Linked DNA regions of Mus musculus. The main gene of each other region encodes a partner of the protein of the gene in region 5 in a complex. Links are inferred from orthologs where the notes say so. Each region holds a gene or a part of one and is shown on either strand. Other genes may lie near its edges. The genes, in order: Plaat3, Mapkap1, Rgl2, Rgl1 and Kras.

Region 1 (3,513 bases), on a different chromosome or scaffold from region 5:
TATGAACCCAAGAGGTAGACCCAGGAACCCAGGGAGCATCACCAGATTGGTCCCCTGCCAGGAGCAGCAACAGCACCCCAGTAACCAGGACAGGACCAGTCTTTAAATATAACATTGACACAGCAACAAACAATAGCCGGAAGGAAAAGAACAGAGGCTATGTGACCCCTCTTCTTTGAAGTTTTAGAATAGGCTGAACTCTTCGAAAACATAAAATGTTTGAACCCAGCATAGTGGTTTAGTCCCTTGACCCCAGAATTCATGAGACAGGCAGACAAATCTTTGTGAGTTCAAGGCCACCCTGGTATATACATAAGTGATGGACCAGCCTGACTCCATTATAAGATTAAAAGCCATCTTATTACAAGGTCAAAATTAAGTTCATTTCTGTGTTCTGCAAAACCTGGATTTGACCAGGTTTTGACCCATTTTCTGGAGTTGAACATGTTCCACACCCTCTACTCTGACCTCTACCATGATATTATAGGATGTTCTGCCGCATAATGTTGAAATGGTCAACCAAGTTCCTATGTAACCAAAATGCCTCAGAATCTCCCAACCCTTGAAACCTGCCCAGCACTGCAGTTTGTGGCTGTATAAACCCCACCTTCTCTTGTGCTCCATGATATTTTGATACTTTCTCCCCACTTTATGGAGATAGCCCTATCTGACAGAAAATAAAGCTTGCTTTATTTGACCAAAATATTTTGGGTAATGGTCTTTACTCTCATTCAGTGGGATTAACATGAGTTCTAGACCATCTGGAATGATATAGTGAGACCTAGTCTTTTGTTCTGTTTTGTTTTGAGACAAGATCTATGTAGCCCTGCCTGTCCTAGGACACTCTAGGTAGACTAGGATTTGAACTCACAGCACAGAGATCTGCTTGTCTCTTCCTCCCCTCCTGAGTACTGGTATAAGAGGAGTGCACCACTACACCCACCCAGTCATGAGACCCTGTCTTAAAAATATGAAAATTGAAAACAGCTATGTTTAAGACATAAGACTTGGTCTATCACAGTCACTCTTGGATTGGGGAGGGACTCACAAGTCTCTACCCCTTCCTCCTGAATTATTGTCTAGGGATGGATTCTAGGGGCAAGACAGTCATTGTCTTCTGTTGTGTACCTACGGACGAGCCCACCAGGTTCCATCAGATAGTTCCAAACCTAGGGTCACACAGAGGACCCTGGTTAACTAAAAAAGAGGGGGGGGGAGGGAAGAAGGAACAAGAGAGAGAGAGAGAGAGAGAGAGAGAGAGAGAGAGAGAGAGAGAGAGAGAGAGAGAGAGAAAGAACATAAATATAGTGTTACAATTCTGAGGGAGAAGGCTTCCCCAATGAAAGAGTTACAGCTCTGCTCTGGCAAGGGGAAGATCTCCCCAATGCAAGTGTTATGGCCTTGCCTTCCTATGTCTCATCATCAGCCTTATATTTTCTAAATATTTGTCCTTCCACACTTGCTCAGACACTTGAAGGTCAGACAGTCCTCTATGCCTAGGGGCAATCTAGAATTGTATTAGAGATCATCTCACTGCTGATTGGTTGTAACAAAGATCTGACAGCCAATCACTGGGCAGGAAGTGGAGGGTAGAACTTCCAGGGAGAGAGAATGATGCAAGAGAAGAGAGAAGAAACAGGAGATTCAAGAGCAGACATTTATTAGTTTGGTAGATTTCATCTGCAAGTGCCCCAGCTTGGACTCAGACTCCTCTGCACTCTGCACAGAGAAGGCTGCTGGTGAGAACTGTATAAATGTCGTGGAAGGTGAGACTAAGACTAGGTGATACATTGGAACTTTTTAATGAAAGCAGGGGAATTTGTGATGTGAAACCCCAACATCTCTTCTATCTGAGAGAGATCACTTAGTAAGAAAGGGACACATACCCTGATCATGCCATCCACCCCAGCAACCAACCTCCTGGAAAGGGAGAACTGGGACCAGGTTAGGCCAGGTAGGGGGAGGTAGAAGCGAGTCCTGTAGTTGAGGAATGAGTTCTAGGAGGACTAAGGGCTGCTAATGGGCTCAAAGTGAGTGACAGGAAGATTTGATTAGGGTGGACTGTGGCTGGAAATGTCCAAGGATGGAGGAATGGGGTCAGGAGAAGAGGGCCAGCCGTAGCCTTGAAGACCTCTGTTTCTGGGGTACCTTCACCTCCAAGAGTACCAACGAGGTGCTGATCACTTCCTTGGACTCAGGAAAACATTTGCAGTGGCCAAAGAGGAGACTCACCTAGTTGTTGCTGGTGGATGGGGTGCTGAGTGATTGGTGAGCTGGGAGGTGAGTCTGTTGTGTGTTGACTGGAGATGAGGAATAGGATCCCAGTACGGCTCAGACCCCAGTGGGGAGCAAGACAATGGAACAGCTCTGTTCCAGTGGGGAAAGGTTCCCCAGCAAGTGTTACACCTCTGCTGGGAATGATACCCTGGCAGTTGGGAGCCAAGGAATACTACAAAGTCACACTGCACAACAAACCTACCTCACACAAGAGCTTTGTTGAGAGGGAAAATCTCAGACCAGAAGCATCAGGAAACTGAGGGAAAGGCAGGCTTTATGATTTCCAGGGTGGGGATTAGTAGGATTTCAAGTTCTGAGCTCGGGCTTTTTACTCTGTGAGGCAGAGCTTGGCCATCTGCATCTAGAGGGGCTGGATCCAGCCATTAGATTGTTCTCTGTGTGGAGCCTGGAAGTTGAAGGTCCTTAGGGGCAGGGTCTGGACACTCACACACCTTGAGGGGCTTACACACTGGGCTCCAAGGAACAAAGCCAGAAAGCATCATGACACATCAGACTGCCTGCACATAAACTTAGAAACAAGTGGTTGACGGAGAAGCATGGACAGCATAGGGGCACCCGGTTGCCCACAGCTCCCCACATCCTTTCCCAGTCCCTGGACCCAGAACAGTGAATGCCCTGGTGTTCTTACTTGGAGGAGCCAGGTGGATCACGTATCCATCACCAACATAGATGGCCCAGTGTCTGTACATAGGGCGGAAAATCTCAATCAGGTCTCCAGGCTTGGGTTCTGGCTGCAAAACCAAGAACAGAACTATTAGTGATGGTGTGAATCCTTGACACCAGGACAGGCTGGGTTAAGAAGATGCAGCCAAAAGTTCCCCCAAATCAGCTCCAGTAGGCAGATCCATGTGGATGCAGGCTCTGCAGGTCTGATGCTGGCTCACCTCACAAAGCTGAGATGCAGGCCTTCAGGGAACATGCTACCACCCCATCCCCAACTTCACCCCAACCCCTGCACGTACTATGACTAAAAACTGCAAACAGGGCTGAAGAGACACCTCAGCAGTTAAGAGTGCTTACTGCTCTTGCAGAGGATCCAGGTTAGGTTCCCAGCACCCAATGGTTGCTTACAACCATCTATAACTCCAGTTCCAGGGCATCCAATGCCCTCTCCTAATCTCCACAGGTAATACATGAAGATAGTACACATACATACATGCAAAACACTAGTGCACATGAAATAATCTAAAAAAGAAACCTGTAAAATGCATGATA
Region 2 (2,817 bases), on a different chromosome or scaffold from region 5:
GGGACACCATGGGGCTTGACAGCACTGTAGCCAGAGGTGCTGGCTGAGGCTCAGAGATTAGGCTAGACAGTACTGACACCCCTGAGATCAGATGTCCTAGGGAAGCGTCTTCATGGCAAATGCAACCAACCAGCAGGCTGGCTCACCACTGCCCAAGGAGTGAGGGCCACCGCCGCCCACCTATCACAGCCGTGGACTGTGACACCAGGCAACTCAAACCCCTGAGAACCTAACCAGCTGAGAGCCATGTGCCAGCAACTGTGGAGAGCAGAGCCAGAGATCCCAGCGTCCCGGGAGTAAAGGACGACTAGACGTGGCTTGTGTACAGCTTAGCATGGCTGGGCATTTTCAAGTGCCAGGGTGTCACCCCAGGGATCTGCTATGACATCACCATATCAGCAGTGTGTGCTGCATTATCAAATGCCAGGGTGTCACCCCCGGGGACTTGCTGTGACATCACCATCTCAGCACCGTGTGTGCAAGGATTTAGGAATTCAAAGCAATATACAAAAGAGGGTATTTATGACTTTTATTTTAGTATTTTAATATTGAATATGTGACAAGATTTAATGACCAAATTAGTCATTTACAATTTCAAAGATATCTAAATATAAAATTGCTAAAAATTCAAATACAGAGCAAGCTACAAATAATATTTCTTTTGGGGGGAGATAGGAATGGAAGACATTAGAAAAGGGTGCTCCTGTTGGCTGAACAGATCAGAATGAGAGAGGCATTCATTCAGTCGACCCCTTTGCAAAGAAGCACACTTGACTCTGAGATGCTTAGACACAATGATTTAAAAAATGTCCTAAACACAGGTCGTATAAGATATCGGCTGTGGCCCTGGCCCAAGGATGCTGCCACAGGCGGGACCATGGTGAGGTCTGCAGAGGCATCTGGTGTAGACAGAGGTGTGGTGTGGTGTCAGGGTGCTGGGTACCTTGCCTTTTCTGCCCAGGGCTTGCTCTCCTTCTCCCTGATTCAGTATAGCAGCAGCAGCAGCAGCAGCAGCAGCAGCAGCAGCAGCAGCAGCAGCAGCAGCAGCAGCAGCAGCAGCAGCAGCAGCGTCTGGCTCCACAGCAGGCACCGGTAAGAGGATTGGAGATAGGTCAGAGAGGCAGGCTGACCATATCATACTTGCTATGAGGAGATGAGAGAAGACCCTGGCTGGGAACTCAGCACCACTTGGAGACACTGTCACACTATATTACCAGCACCTGTCTCTCAGATCACAGGCGCTGACATGTTGAGAAGGCCTTAGAAGGCTACGCACGCACGCACGCACGCACGCACGCACCCACGCATGCACTTACGCTGGGCACATGCTAGGTCCTCAATTCCTAACTTTAGTAAGATGCTATTCTCAAAGCAAATCACTTATTTAAACAAATGGCACAGTTAAACTACTGGCTAAGCCCTAAACATTGCTTCTGAGAGCTCCAACCACAGCTTTTGTAATCTGCCTGTTCAATATGGGAACAGATTTTAAGGAAGATAATATAGTCAATCCTCTACCCCAAAGAATGGTCCATCATACCAACCACGATAAAGAGTATACCTGTTTATTAAAAGGAAAGAAAGAGAAATGTACACTTTTGTTCTTTGTTTGCTTTAAGAAATTTGATCAAGTTGCAAGGAGATGTCTGGCATGGCTATGTACAGTCTTGCTGGGACTGCCAGGCAGGACACACGGCTGAGCAGCACTCAGCCCCTCCAGGAGGTGGCCTGGCTCCTGGGCATTGCTACTTAGAACCATTGCCAAGTTTCAGTCCAATCGCACCCCTACCTCTAAACCTTCCCCTAGAGCCCAGCAGCCTGTGCCTGCGGGTCTCGGCACTACAGGATGCTGGTGGACTCCGGTCCACCTGGCCTTGCAGGCCACCTGGGCTGTGGCACCAGACTAGAGGCCAGTGTCACTGCTGCCCTGATTTCTTCTCCTTCTGGAAGCTGAAGCTTGTTCGCCTGTTCAGTTTTCTTTGTTTTTGAGCAAGATAATCAGCTCGGGCAGTGCTCGCTCGTGATTCCAGGATGTAGTTAACCTAGAAAGCAAGAGGACACGGCATCACTTGGCAGCACCAGCTGTTCCCCCAGGGCAGAGCTTGGGGTGGAAGGGAGGCCATGTTTGGGCAAGGGATCCTGGGAGCAGCTGCTCTGACACGGTGCAGTCTGGCAGGCCAGGAGGAAGCCCTCGGTTCATATAGATGGAGGCCCAGTGCAGGCTTCTCAGTTGCTGAGCAGTGGGGCTGCTGACCCACCCCTAGGCTTGTGCTCTTCGGTGTCTCAGAGGGCTGCCTACTCTCAGACATGTCCAGCCAGCTCCCGAGGAAAACACGCGAGGCAGCACATCCTCTGCCTCCTGATAGCCTGGCATGTGTCCTCTATTGTCCGCTGCACCTACCAGCCAGGACCAAGTACGCAAAGTGAGGCTCAGAGGACTGCAAGGGCTGAGGCCACTGGGGTCAGGGTTGACTTCAGTTGGCTGTGTGTGTCTTTTCTGGGCCACCTGTGGACCTTCAGACATGGCTTTCCTGCCTGGCTTTTTGTGAAAACACAATTCTTTCACTCTCACACGTTCCGAAGCCTCACCAGAAAGCCCAGCCTTGGTTTGGAGAAGGCAGCTAGAGGCTCTTGAGCAGGGCAGTTGCAGACTGAGGCTCTGACAATGTCCCTCCAAACTTTCAACAGTAGGAGGTACAGGCAGGCATGCGGATACAGAAGGCCCGCCTCACCCGGCCGCAGCCTTGCCAACTTACCAGCTGAGAGTCATAAATCAGGATGTAGGTTGGCAAGGGTGCTTTGGGCCGGCGTGGACTT
Region 3 (4,038 bases), on a different chromosome or scaffold from region 5:
ACTCATTTGATGCCCACAGTCGGGAGGCAGAGGCAGTGGATCTCTGACATTTCCATGCCAGCCTGATCTACAAATAGGGAGTTTCAGGTCAGTCGGGGTTACTTGGCGGGGCTTTGTTGAGAGAACTAAATATAAGAACACACATGCGTAGAGTCCCAGGGTTGAGAAGAACCAGTGTATGCGCCAGAGAGGCGGGTTCATAACCTGTGGCTCACAACCCCCTTTAAGTCCATCGGAAATACCAGACATTAGGATTCACAACAGTAGTAAAGGCAGTTACGAAGTAGCAAAGAAAATAATTTTACAACTTGAACTGCGTTAATGTTAAGAAGGTTGAGAACCACTGGCCAGGGGATTAGGACGAAAGGTCTTCATAGCATCTTAAGATTCTAGAGACCTCAGGGACAGCCCACAGCAGTAGTCTAGAGACGGAAAGGTCCATGTGTCTCCCTCGCGGACTAAAGCCTACCTCTCCAGCTCTCCATTCCTACCACAGCTTTTCTTTTGCCTGGTCCACCTTTACCATCTCCGGGCCTGGTGGGTCTCGGCCCTTTACGAATGTCCCCGTGTGGTTCGTCCTCTCCTGTTCGCCGGTCCTCGTGAGCTAATAAAGTCTTTCCGAGTTTCCATGCGGGCCTCTCATTCTCCCGTTTCCAAGCACAGCCAACCTCGGTCACCTCCCGGTCCTCGTCTCGCACCCGGGAGACGACATAGCCACCGTGGGAACCGCGCGCGCTCGGGCGCACGGTGAGAGCCGGACGCCCGGAGCGACGGACCCGAGTGGAACCGGAAGCGCCGCACTAGCCGGCTTCCGCCCCCTCCCCGCGAGTGGGCGGGCATAAGGGCGGCACAGAAAACCCGGCGCGGATTCGCTCCGTTGCACTCGTGCCGGGGCGGCAGTGTCATTCTCGAGCTGCAGTAACGGGGTCGCGCCACTGCTAGGGCACTTTCCTCGGCAGTTGCAGCGCCGCTCTGGTTAGAAAAAGTGACTTAAAATTCCGTGTTTGCCTTCCTGTGGAGGCTTGAGACAGGACCCTGGTCTCCAGCGTGTCTGCTGCGAGACGCGGGCTTCAGAGCCACCGAGTGGGGCTGCAAGGGACAGCGGAGTAGTGCACCTGCAGCCTGCGTCCCAGCCCCTGGCGTCCAGCACTCCCCTAGTCGCTCTCCCTGGCTCCTGTCCTCACTTCCTTCCCTTTTTGGCTCCTGCTGTCGGGCGGACGCGGGGAGGGGGGAAGCGGAAAGGGCGGGAGGGCCCGGGAGCCCGGCGGGGTGCAGGAGGGGGGCATCGCGGAAAAGCCGGGGAGGGGACTCGGTAGAGGGCCAGAGACCGACAAGAACAGAGGCCCGGGACCCGCGCGCAGCCCTCGCCCTTCCCGAGCAGGTCAGAGCCGGAGCACCGGGTGACCCTGCCCATTCCGCACTAGTTAGCCCCCAAGTCCCAAGCAAGCACCGAGGGCTTGGGTTTCCCCACTCCCGTATCTCCCTCCCCCAGCCTTCCTCAGGGACTCCCACCTAGGTCCCTTCTTGTCCGTCTCCCCCACGCCCGTCTGACTCCACCCAATCCCACCCGTCTCTCCCCAGGCGCCCCCATGGCCCGACCCCGCTGATTGCTTCTCTCGGCCATGCTCCCGCGGCCCCTGCGGCTGCTTTTGGACACGACCCCCCCCGGGGGAGTCGTGCTGAGCAGCTTCCGGAGCCGGGACCCCGAAGAGGGTGGGGACCCAGGTGGCCGGGCCGTGGGCGGGGGGCAGGAGGAAGAGGATGAGGAAGAAGAAGAGGTGAGACGCGGGTGGCGGGAGGCAGGGCATTAAATATTTCTGAGACTCTCCTCCTTTCGGTGTCTCTGGGTCCCTCGGTCTCTTCCTCCCCGCCTCACTCGCATCCCGCCCGCCACACTCTCTCTGGATATCTGTCCCCTGGCTGCGGGTCCTGGTGTCTATGAAGTTCGCCCTGTCTGTCTGCTCGGAACCTGCCCGTAGGAACCTGCCGGAACCAGAATGGCTGGCTGGCAGACGGGCTGACTGTGCCTGCGGGGCTCAGGCCCTCTTTGCCCATACCTGCTTAGACGGGTGCCACTGGGCAGTTGTATCTTGGTCCCTGTCTCCCTCCTCGTTTTTTGTTTGGCTGGGAGGGGTTTGTTTCCACAGTAACCAGCTCCTCAGACTCTAGGATTGGGGAGGGAACCCTCAGATTTCGCCGCCTCTTCCCCCACCCCCTGGTGCTCAATAGAGGGCAGCAAGCCAAGAGGTTCCGGCACCTGGAGAGATGATCCCGGGATAGGTAGAGCGTGGTCATCTTCGTCCAAAGAGACTGATAGGATGTAGTCCGCAGCAAGATTTAGGGATTCAGGAGGGTCCAGAAGTTAGATTCGGAGCCCGAGGATCCAGACTCCTGGGCCCCGACATTGGTAAAGTTAGGGTGACTAGCAAGGCTGGTTTTTCGGGATCGGTCGGGGGAGGGGCTAGGGCCACATGACTCTGAGTCTACCGCCCCCCCCCCCCATCATCCTTACTTCCCCTTCTTGTAACTGGGATTGGAGCCGCCACCTTCAGGGGGTCCCCAGTGCTGAGATTAAGTGGAAGCTGTATTGGGGACCTGGGGAAAAGGAGTCTCTGCGGAAGGACTAAATTTGGGCTCCTCTGGTTCTGTCAGGGAGGGCGGGCCTTGTGAAGTTTCAGCTTCTCTCTGCTTCAGGTCTCTCTTCCTTTGGCTTTGTGCCTCTTCGGGCGCGCTCTGCTCCTGACTTTGCGCCCTGCTTTTCTGCGTTGGGCTCAGCTGTGGGACAAGGGGGGTTGGAGGTGGCCAGAAGAGGGGTTCCTGCATTCAGTTGAAACCCTCACTGCAACCTCTTCCATCCCACCGAGCTCTGAGGTGGCCGGGGGGGCTGTCTGAGCCCCAGGGTGGGGTAGACCTGGGGTCACCAGTACCCTCTACCCCTCGCACTCGCTGGTATTGTCCCCCGCCATCACAGGTGAGGGGTGCAGAGGGAGGAACAGGGCCTGGGGACAATGGCTGGGGACTGGAGGTGCTGTGGAACTCACTTCCTCTTCTTGCTCCTCCAGGCTTCTGTGTCAGTCTGGGACGAGGAGGAGGATGGTGCGACCTTTACTGTCACAAGCCGCCAGTACAGGCCTCTTGACCCCTTGGTGAGATCACGACTTTGAGGTCTTGCCTCTCGGTTTTTAATTTAATATTTATTTATTTATTTTCCGGAACATTAGGTTGAAGAAGTTCTGGTAGTGTGAAGGTAGTTCTGTGTTGTGTGATTTAAGCCATTTCTGAACCGGGGCAGAAATAAGCTAGATCTGGATTATCCCAGATGTCTAGCAGTCAGATTGAGGAGGCCCGTCGGTGAGACACCCTCCATGTTCTCCAGGCTCCCTTGCCTCCACCTCGCTCCTCCCGACGGCTCCGCGCTGGCACTCTGGAGGCCCTGGTCAGACACCTCTTGGATGCCAGGACAGCAGGGGCTGACATGATGTTCACTCCGGCCTTGCTGGCCACCCACCGGGCCTTCACCTCCACTCCTGCCCTGTTTGGGCTTGTGGCTGACAGGTCAGGGGCCAAGGGTTAGGAGGCTCCTGGATTCCCTTTGAGCACCCCCAGCACCAGCGGGGGCTGGAAAAGCCACAAGGTAGACCCTCTCCTCATCCCCAGGCTGGAAGCCCTTGAATCTCATCCTCCCGGTGAGCTAGAGAGGACCACAGGGTGAGTGGCCCTGTCTGAACCTCAGTCCCCTCAGGGTGCTGAGGCTAGACCTCTGACCCCTGGCTGATTCCCCTTCTCTCAGGGTAGCCATCTCTGTACTTTCAACTTGGCTGGCCTCTCACCCTGAGGATTTTGGCTCTGAGGTCAAGGGTCAACTTGACCGGCTTGAGAGCTTCTTGCTTCGGACAGGGTATGCAGCACGGGAGGGTGTTGTGGGGGGCAGTGCTGACCTCATCCGAAACCTCCGGGCCCGGGTGGACCCCCGGGCCCCCGACCTTCCTAAGCCCCTGGCCCTTCCTGGCGATTCCCCTGCTGACCCCACGGATGTCC
Region 4 (3,513 bases), on a different chromosome or scaffold from region 5:
ACAATGCAGAAGCTGTCCAGCTTCTGCCAAGGAGAGTACAGGGTAAGGACTAACATCACTCACTCACACATTCATTCATTCATTCATTCATTCATTCCTTGTAAATCTGGCATGCACCTAGAATGTCACTACGTGTGAAACCTGTGATCCTTTCTCTCTGGGACCTGGTCTATGCTTTCACTGCTCCTGCCTGAGTCTCCAGGGGTTATGTACAAATCTCTATGCACAGTTTTACTTTTGCAAACACACAGGAAAGCTCACTGCTTTCCAGAGTATGACATGGGGGCTGGGGGGTGAGAGGCACAAGGGAACTAACTAAGCTCCCAACATTCCTCTTCAGGAATGGAGCCTATACTTCATAAACAGGGCCTGGAGCATTCTTGATGACAACTGCCCACACTTAGGAAAAGATTCATTCTTGGGTATTGCCTAAAAGTTTTTGTGAGGTCAGGCCACCTCCCTAGTCCCTGCCTCTGCCTGCCAAAAGAGCTCTGCCCTCCATTCCCTGAGCCGGAGAGGACCAATGACTGGTCCCACTGGTTCCCCAATTAGGCATGGGGCCAGAGGCAGCCCCAGTGGGGCGAGCTGGGCTCCAGTGCAACAGCAGCAGCAGCAGCAGCGTTTTCTACCAGAGCACAAAGCTGGGCGGGCAGGCGGGAGGAGGCCCTGAAGGGAGCTGAGGTCTGGCAGCTGGAGCTGAGCTTCCAGGGTATTCAAGCATTCCCGGCAGATGAAGTCATCTGAGATACAAAGCCTTTGGCAATCTGAGCCAAATGATGCAAGTGCATTCCCCTTCTCTGGTCCCCAGTCCATACAAACCACTCAACAGGTACCGGGTAGAATTTAAAGTCACTGTATTTGCTTTGGCTTTGGGGTAGCATCCCTTATCTGCGTTAGGAGCCATTTCCTTTCCCTCACTGAGGAAACCGGACATTACTTCAAGGAAATGCCTACCAGAAGTTCCAAGTGGGTCAGCTGCCATGGCAACTGTTACCCAGTGCCTCGGTGAAAGGCTATATCATCACGCTGGAGCGCGATGGAACCTCTTGACTAATTTCTGCAGAGCCTGGCAGCCAGCACACTCTATGGCCAGCAGTGGTGGCTCTGCATTTGTCCCTGGAAGCTCGAGGTCAGCCTCCAATAGGAAAAAACAGCCTCAGAGACTTCCTTCGATTCGGTCACTAGAGACAGTCGATGTCAGCAATCGGGGCTGCCAGGGGACATGACACTAATGCTTTTTAGGGAAAAGGAGGAACACCTCTTCCAAGCTTTTGTGAGAGGGACGTGGACTTGAACCCTTGCCAGCCACACAGGGTTGGTTGGTTGTCGCCCGTTTATATCTGATAGAACACATTAGGCAGAGAAGAAGCCCATTCATGTTGATAAGAGAAAGTTTAAAAAAAACAAAAACAAATCAAGAAAACCCTGTTCCTGGTAACAGTAGGCACCCTGGGCAATTACTTAGCTTCTCTGAGCTGGTTTTACAATTTAATCTTTAAAATCATAAATCCAGCCTTGAAAATCCCTCTTTTCACTCTGAAACCTTAGGGTTCTGAGGTTCACAGTTCAATAATTTTATACCTATCCCAATTTTCTGAGGGTACCAGGGTTTCTTATTGAGTCAATGAATGGGGAGCCCCCACATTGCAGAGCCCAGTAGAGGTTTCCCTGGGACCAAACAGGTACTCACTGTCGGAATCCACGTCCTGCTTTTGAAACTGTTCAAGAAGGTTCTGTGCTCTCCTCTCTGGGTCAGAGCCAGGCATCATCTGTTTGAGGTACTCCAGCAGCTTCTGAAGGCAAGGGAAGTGAGGGGGCTCCCGGAAGTCTTCCGCACACTGGTCAAGCCAGGCCCTCAGGATGGAAGCAATGGCACTGGGAAGGAGAGATGGAGACACAGTGAACACAATGCTTACGGGACTCGAGACAGGCCCTGGACCCCACAGCTGGTAGCTGAAGAGGGTTGGGGAGACTAATAATGTTTTGTTGTTAGAAAATCCAACCAAGGCAGACGAAAGATGAGAAGAGGATTTACTGAGTTCCAAACAATCCAAACACAAGCCACTAACTGTGCATTTGCTCAAATTAAAGACCAGAAAACCAGGCTATCAAGATGACACAGTAAATAAGAAACTTTCTACCACGCCTGACAACTGAGCTCAGTGATGCCTGGGTCCCACACAATGTTAACAAGTTGTCCTCTGACAGCCTGCACTGTAGCATGCTTCAGCTAGCCCTTCAGACTCCCACACAAATAGATGAACAAAGGTAATAAAACAGAAAAGTAGCCTAAAAGTAGCCGTATTGATAACTTAGGACATAACTGGCTACCACTAGGCTAGAACTCATCTGGAGTAAGAAGTCTCCAGGTTAATGGGGAAATGCCTGTTTAATTTTAAAAACATCACTAGGGTTTTGGCACAAGGACCAAAGCTTTCCTCATAAAGTTATCCCTTTGTTTCTCAAATTATAATGAGACGGCGTGTCAGGAACCACTGGGTGATGGAGTCACAAGGTTCCCCGGGTGTCAAAGCACAAGAACAGCCAGATACGCTCTGGGTGCTTGGTGCGCTACAGACACCTCCTGAGTAACTAAGGGTGTTGCCTGTAAGTTACGGGGAGCTCCTCTCTCTAGAGCAGAGTCAGAGCAATGACAAAGGGGTAAACTGCAGCAGGGCCATTACTCCACGCTTCATCGTCAGAAGACTTCAAAGACACTTCAGTGTTAGTTCCACACCAGGCTAGTCTGCCTCCCTAATAAAACAACTCCATCGAAAGGGATGTTCACTGATGCTGGCTGGAGAAGGTATCAGGGAGAATCAATAAATTCCTGTGCATCCCAAGGCAAAGAAACCACACTGTCTTAGCTACAGTGACAAAACTCTTTCACCCACCCAAAAGAGTGTATGTGTGTAGGTCAGAGGGTAACCTATGCCACTCCTTAGGAGCCATCTGCCTTGTCTGTTGAGATGGGTCTCTCATTGGGACCTGGGGGGTCACCGATAGGCTAGGATGGCTGGTCAGCAAGCTCTAGAAATACTCTAGGCTCTGCTTCCGCAGCAGTAGGATGATAAACACATGTCACCACATCCAATTTTTTTTTTAATCCACGGGTGCTGGGGAATCTAACCCAGGTTGTAGATCTTGTGCAGCAAGCATCTCACAGGCTGAGTGATCCCTCCAGAACCACAAAAATGTTTTTTGAAAGGGTTTGGGATATAGCGGTGGTACAGCATCTGTCTAATGTGCACAAGTATTCTTTGGATTTGTTCCACAGAATCAGAATCAAAAAAAGGAAAATTATAATTATCTACTACACCTACACAAATTGTTCATACAATTAAAAGCTAGAGTAGAAGTTAGTATCCAGTGTGCAGAAGCCCAGCAGCCTGTTACAGTGACTTAACTCCCAGCTGCACTTTCCTACCAAAGAGCTGAGCTGTAATCAGGACCGGCTGCCACAAAAGTCCACTGAGAGTTAACTCAGCTTTTGGAGGTCAAGTACCAAGAGCA
Region 5 (4,111 bases):
CATTTAAACAAGGCTTAAAGCCTATGATATAGGAAGCTCTGGGCATTGGTAGTTAGGAGACAGTTTTTGAGGACAGTCTCAGAGGAAAAGGCCAACCTCCCCATTCTCGGAGCAGCCAGGAGTCAAGGTGAAACACGAAGGTAAGGTAAGGTAGCAAGTGGTCAAAGGCAGCATAGAATTTTAGAATTTTGCCTTTATGTTCTTGAACTGTGAGCCACGCGGGAGCTCAAGGCAGACTGAGATACTGAGTTAGTATCTTTCCTTCAGCTTAACAGTGTGAATGTGGCCGCCATTTCTTCCTTTCCGTAAATTTCTTCCTTCATCTGTAAAATAGTCGAGATGATGTTTAACTCGCGGGGGCGTTGTGATAATTAAATACGCTATGTGCAAAAACATTTAGCAGTTAACTTGACACAGAGTAGGCACGTTCTTTCTTTCCCTGTCTTCCTCCTGTTTCCCGGGCCTCCCACCTGGTGCTGGGAGGGAGAGGTAGGGTGCAAGAAGAGTGACATCACTTCAGAGAGCTAGTGTAACAGTTTCACGCGTGGCTGGTGATGGGGCTGTGAGGACAGACGGCGGTCGGTGGGTGGGTGGATGGGCAGTCTTTTGGGCGGGGGCCCTGGCTCTCCAGGCCTCAACTGATGGCATTTTTTAGAAGGGGCATCAGTGCGGTCTAGAGGAACGCACGCTTATTTGCCTCCCTGTTTAACTCTGCGGTGGTAACTGATGAATGAATGTCTTCTACCTGGCGTCCTGAGAAGTCTCCTCGGATCTGTCCTGTGGAGCGAGGGCACTTCCTACAAAGCGGCTCTCCATGTGGTATCCGGGCAGAAGGCCAGCCTGGTCTACACAGAGAGACCCTGTCTCAAAACAAAAAGAGGAGGTCCGGGTTGGGAGCCTGCAGGCTTCGGACAGTCCGGCCAAGGGACCGCGAGGCCAGCGGCTGGGGTCCGCCCCCGGCGGCGCCGCGCGCGCCCGGAGGAGCAGCAGCGGGGCGGGCGGCCGCGTGCGAACGAGCGGCGAGGCGGGGCTATCGGGAGCGCCAGCCCCGGGTCGGGGTCCGCGTTGGCCGACGCCCTCTCGGCACCACCCTCGCGCGCCCCCGCCCGGGCCCGTCCTGGCCGCCGCTTCCCGCCCTCGCTCTCCTGGGCTCCCAGCGCTGCGGCCGCTCCCTCCCTCCCTCCTTCCCTCCCTCCCGCGCGCGCGGCCGAGGCAGCGCGGAGCACCGAGCGCATCGATCGGCCTGCTCTGCGGCCGCCCGCCCGCCTGCCGGGCCCATCGCGCACTCCGGGCTCGATTCGGCAGGCGGCGGCCGCGGCGGCTGAGGCGGCAGCGCTGTGGCGGCGGCTGAGACGGCAGGGGAAGGCGGCGGCGGCTCGGCCCGGAGTCCCGCTCCCGCGCCATTTCGGACCCGGAGCGAGCGCGGCGCGGGCCTGAAGGCGGCGGCGGGAGCCTGAGGCGCGGCGGCTCCGCGGCGCGGAGAGAGGTAGGGCGCGGGCGGCGCTCCTGGGCCGCTGCCCGGTGCGGAGCTCGGCGCGGCCGGGCGGGGCCGCGGCGCTGAATGAAGCCGGCTCGGGGCGGCGGGCGCGGGGCGCCGAGGTCGGGCGGCCGCCGTTTCCCGGACGGGGCGGCTTTCCTTCCTCCTCCCGGCCGCGGCGGGCCCTCCGCGCTCGCCCGGCCTCCGCGCCCGGCCTCTGCTGCACCCGGCATCCGCGCCTGGCGCCCCGCGCCCGGCTCAACTTGTCGGGCGCGCGGGCTGTGCGGGGACGCCGCTTCCCCTGGCCGGGCTGCGGGGCCCCGGGGGAGGTCGCGGCGGGAGGTGCTCGGACCCGGTGGCCGGAGGGCGTCGTGGTTCTCGGAGGGGAAAGGCGTCCGCCGCGGAGTTCGCGACCGCTCCCCTCCCCCACGCCTGTAAGGGCTGTGACATTGCCGCGGCCACAAAGGAGGAGGTGGAGGTAGGGATGGTGCTGGCAGAACAGGTGGCCCACGCCCTGCGCGGAAAGCCCGCGAGCGACCCGCACGGAAGCAGAAAAGTTAATGCGGCAAGTCTGAGTGGCTTTGTGTCGTGAAAACACAGGGGGAACGAAGGGCGAGAGCCGAGGCAGGGGACTCTCCCCGAGTGGAGCGCAGGCAGCTCGGCTCACAGCGTCAAGTTTGAATCGCCTGCTGCCCTCTCCCCTCAGTCCTGCGGTTTGTCCCTTGCCCCTTCCAGACTCCAGAGTTGATTGTAGCATTCGGGCCGACCTCTGAAATCCCCCTAGGCCCATGTAGTAGCTCAAGTCCTGAGCCAGCCCCGTTAAAGCAAGGTGATCATCAAGGCAAGGACTTAAAAGCAGAATGGCATGCTGTGTTTGTCGTAGAGGAATCATCTGAGAGGAAATGTTGAACAAGTCTGCTCATAATAATCACTTCGAAATTGCCACCAAATGACCAGTGTCACTCTTCCACCGAGGGCCTGATTGCTGACCCCTCATGTGATAGACAATAGACATCAGATACGCTAGGTATCCATATATTTAATTTGAAACTGTAGCTATTCACAAGCATCCTTGGTTTTAAGAGATGGCGGATAGTAATTTAATTTTTCCACTTTGGTTGGAATTGAGCCCCTTTATTACCTTTTGTAACTGGGGGTGGGGGTGGGTGGGTGGGGGAACCTTTCAGGCTTAAGGTTTTTCTTGAGTAAGACTTCTTTTTTTTCTAGTGGACTTAATTAAATATTACTAAGTTTTAAAAACCCGACAATAAATTTTATTCAGCAAAAGCTACGGTGTAAATGATTCAATATCTGTCCACAGTATACCCTAAATTAGCCAACATTTTAGTCTGTGGGACCCCTTTGCACCTATAAACAAATTATTGAGGGTCTCAGAAATCCTTGAAGGGGGGGAACATGCCAATATTTACTATATTAGAAGTAACACATTTTTTCAGTTTATTTAGAACTAGGAATAAAGTGCCTGTTGGTAACATGAATTCATTTTTTAATGAAAAAATAATAAATTTTCTAGAACAAAGAATTAGAGTAGCTTTGTTTTACACATTAACAATCTGTTTAATTGTGCTTCATAGGACATAACAGTATTCTTTCATATCTACATCTCATATCTGCATCTGCATTCTCTTTGTTGTGATTACAGGGCCTAGAGAACCAACTGTCCTTGTAATAGTAAGAAGGCTAAAAAACAATTGCTGTAAAAACGGTTCTAACCTCCTAATCCTGTTCCCTACCACACAAAGTTTTAGGGACCCAAAATTGCTCCTGTACGCTAGCCACACTGTTTGCGGGAGGGAGAGGCAAAGGTCGCATTTCCATGTGATTTCTTTTCATCTATCCCATTTGCCATGGTCTACATTTGTTACAAAACTTGAAGGCAAACAGGTAAGTTAGGTTAGTAGTGGCTCACAGGATGGCCCCAGACAAGCAGCCAGAAAGGATAGGTGGGGCAAAGTAGGGCAGGAGTTGGATGAAGGTCTGATAACAATGGTTTTCTGCCCTTGTGGTCCTGTTACTGAGGGCTTCAGGCACAGGGTAAGGAAGACAGTGTGTTGGAAAAACAAACTGCATTTTCCCCTCTTGGTGCCTGTGTGAACAGTTCTTGGTGGTCAATAAGTAGACTGTATTTTGTGTTTGTTTACACTGTATATACTTACATTGACCTGGAACTATCTATTCTATAACAAAATTGTGACTTTAGTGCAGTTCTTTTGTATCCATTTGTCTCTTTATCTGCAATAATATATGTTCTACAAGGGAAAGGAGATAAAGTGTATATATTAATTTTATTTCAAAAATGTTTGGAAAAGCAGACTAGGAAACAACAGTGTTGTATTCAGGGCTGTTAACTGTATACAGTGCCAGCACTTAGTGCACCTGTTGGGAGTGCAGTGTATTATAAGCAAGGCAGAAGTCACAGAGGTTACTGAGAAACTCTTTTATGTTCTTTACATTTTTTTTCTTGCCAAAAATAGTCTTTATCTCTGAATTTCATTCAATTTTATTTCCTTGTACAGAGGTACTGTTTTTAGTACTCAAAGGATTATATGTTAAAATTGATCTGATCCTATACCAAATATTTAAACCCATTTCCCACAGATAGTTTATAGATTA

The links.
Region 1: the proteins of Kras (region 5) and Plaat3 are in contact, whole or in part, in a crystal structure (PDB 7C41), measured with the Homo sapiens proteins. The link is inferred for Mus musculus from reciprocal best matches to the Homo sapiens genes KRAS and PLAAT3. Residues at the interface, in NP_001356715.1 of Homo sapiens: Ala11, Gly13, Lys16, Ser17, Tyr32, Asp33, Pro34, Thr35, Ile36, Thr58, Ala59, Gly60, Gln61, Asn85, Asn86, Lys88, Asp92, Tyr96, Lys117; in NP_001121675.1 of Homo sapiens: Leu65, Tyr66, Asp67, Val68, Ala69, Gly70, Ser71, Asp72, Lys73, Tyr74.
Region 2: the proteins of Kras (region 5) and Mapkap1 are in contact, whole or in part, in a crystal structure (PDB 7LC1), measured with the Homo sapiens proteins. The link is inferred for Mus musculus from reciprocal best matches to the Homo sapiens genes KRAS and MAPKAP1. Residues at the interface, in NP_001356715.1 of Homo sapiens: Ile21, His27, Val29, Glu31, Asp33, Pro34, Ile36, Glu37, Asp38, Ser39, Tyr40, Arg41, Leu56, Glu62, Glu63, Tyr64, Ser65, Ala66, Met67, Asp69, Gln70; in NP_001006618.1 of Homo sapiens: Phe280, His287, Gly288, Phe289, Ser290, Leu291, Ile292, Gln293, Lys307, Lys310, Arg311, Arg312, Lys313, Gly314, Ser315, Phe363, Glu365, Ile369, Val374, Met377, Leu378, Ser380, His381, Tyr484, Glu487, Ser488.
Region 3: the proteins of Kras (region 5) and Rgl2 are in contact, whole or in part, in a crystal structure (PDB 8B69), measured with the Homo sapiens proteins. The link is inferred for Mus musculus from reciprocal best matches to the Homo sapiens genes KRAS and RGL2. Residues at the interface, in NP_001356715.1 of Homo sapiens: Ile24, Gln25, His27, Val29, Glu31, Asp33, Pro34, Thr35, Ile36, Glu37, Asp38, Ser39, Tyr40, Arg41, Lys42, Tyr64; in NP_004752.1 of Homo sapiens: Ile651, Arg653, Glu660, Asp661, Gly662, Ser663, Val664, Tyr665, Lys666, Ser667, Ile668, Leu669, Lys685, Lys686, Asn688, Arg689.
Region 4: the proteins of Kras (region 5) and Rgl1 are in contact, whole or in part, in a crystal structure (PDB 7SCX), measured with the Homo sapiens proteins. The link is inferred for Mus musculus from reciprocal best matches to the Homo sapiens genes KRAS and RGL1. Residues at the interface, in NP_001356715.1 of Homo sapiens: Ile24, Gln25, Glu31, Asp33, Pro34, Thr35, Ile36, Glu37, Asp38, Ser39, Tyr40, Arg41, Leu56, Tyr64, Met67; in NP_001284600.1 of Homo sapiens: Ile651, Arg653, Asn660, Gly661, Asn662, Met663, Tyr664, Lys665, Ser666, Ile667, Met668, Lys685, Asn687.

Annotation. Positions count from the first base shown.
Region 1 is NC_000085.6:7,574,453-7,577,965, reverse strand, and holds part of Plaat3 (phospholipase A and acyltransferase 3), read right to left. Parts: intron 3,030-3,513; coding exon 2,927-3,029; intron 1-2,926. UniProt on the Homo sapiens protein: Exhibits both phospholipase A1/2 and acyltransferase activities. Shows phospholipase A1 (PLA1) and A2 (PLA2) activity, catalyzing the calcium-independent release of fatty acids from the sn-1 or sn-2 position of glycerophospholipids.
Region 2 is NC_000068.7:34,622,648-34,625,464, reverse strand, and holds the end of Mapkap1 (target of rapamycin complex 2 subunit MAPKAP1), read right to left. Parts: intron 2,043-2,817; coding exon 1,917-2,042; 3' UTR 507-1,916; downstream 1-506. UniProt on the Homo sapiens protein: Component of the mechanistic target of rapamycin complex 2 (mTORC2), which transduces signals from growth factors to pathways involved in proliferation, cytoskeletal organization, lipogenesis and anabolic output.
Region 3 is NC_000083.6:33,928,664-33,932,701, forward strand, and holds the start of Rgl2 (ral guanine nucleotide dissociation stimulator-like 2), read left to right. Parts: upstream 1-1,230; 5' UTR 1,231-1,381; intron 1,382-1,581; 5' UTR 1,582-1,622; coding exon 1,623-1,778; intron 1,779-1,784; exon of another isoform or gene 1,785-2,280; intron 2,281-3,062; coding exon 3,063-3,146; intron 3,147-3,376; coding exon 3,377-3,555; intron 3,556-3,657; coding exon 3,658-3,708; intron 3,709-3,790; coding exon 3,791-4,038. UniProt on the Homo sapiens protein: Probable guanine nucleotide exchange factor. Putative effector of Ras and/or Rap. Associates with the GTP-bound form of Rap 1A and H-Ras in vitro.
Region 4 is NC_000067.6:152,555,713-152,559,225, forward strand, and holds part of Rgl1 (ral guanine nucleotide dissociation stimulator-like 1), read right to left. Parts: intron 1,876-3,513; coding exon 1,691-1,875; intron 1-1,690. UniProt on the Homo sapiens protein: Probable guanine nucleotide exchange factor.
Region 5 is NC_000072.6:145,247,424-145,251,534, reverse strand, and holds the start of Kras (GTPase KRas), read left to right. Parts: upstream 1-1,303; 5' UTR 1,304-1,486; intron 1,487-4,111. UniProt on the Homo sapiens protein: Ras proteins bind GDP/GTP and possess intrinsic GTPase activity. Plays an important role in the regulation of cell proliferation.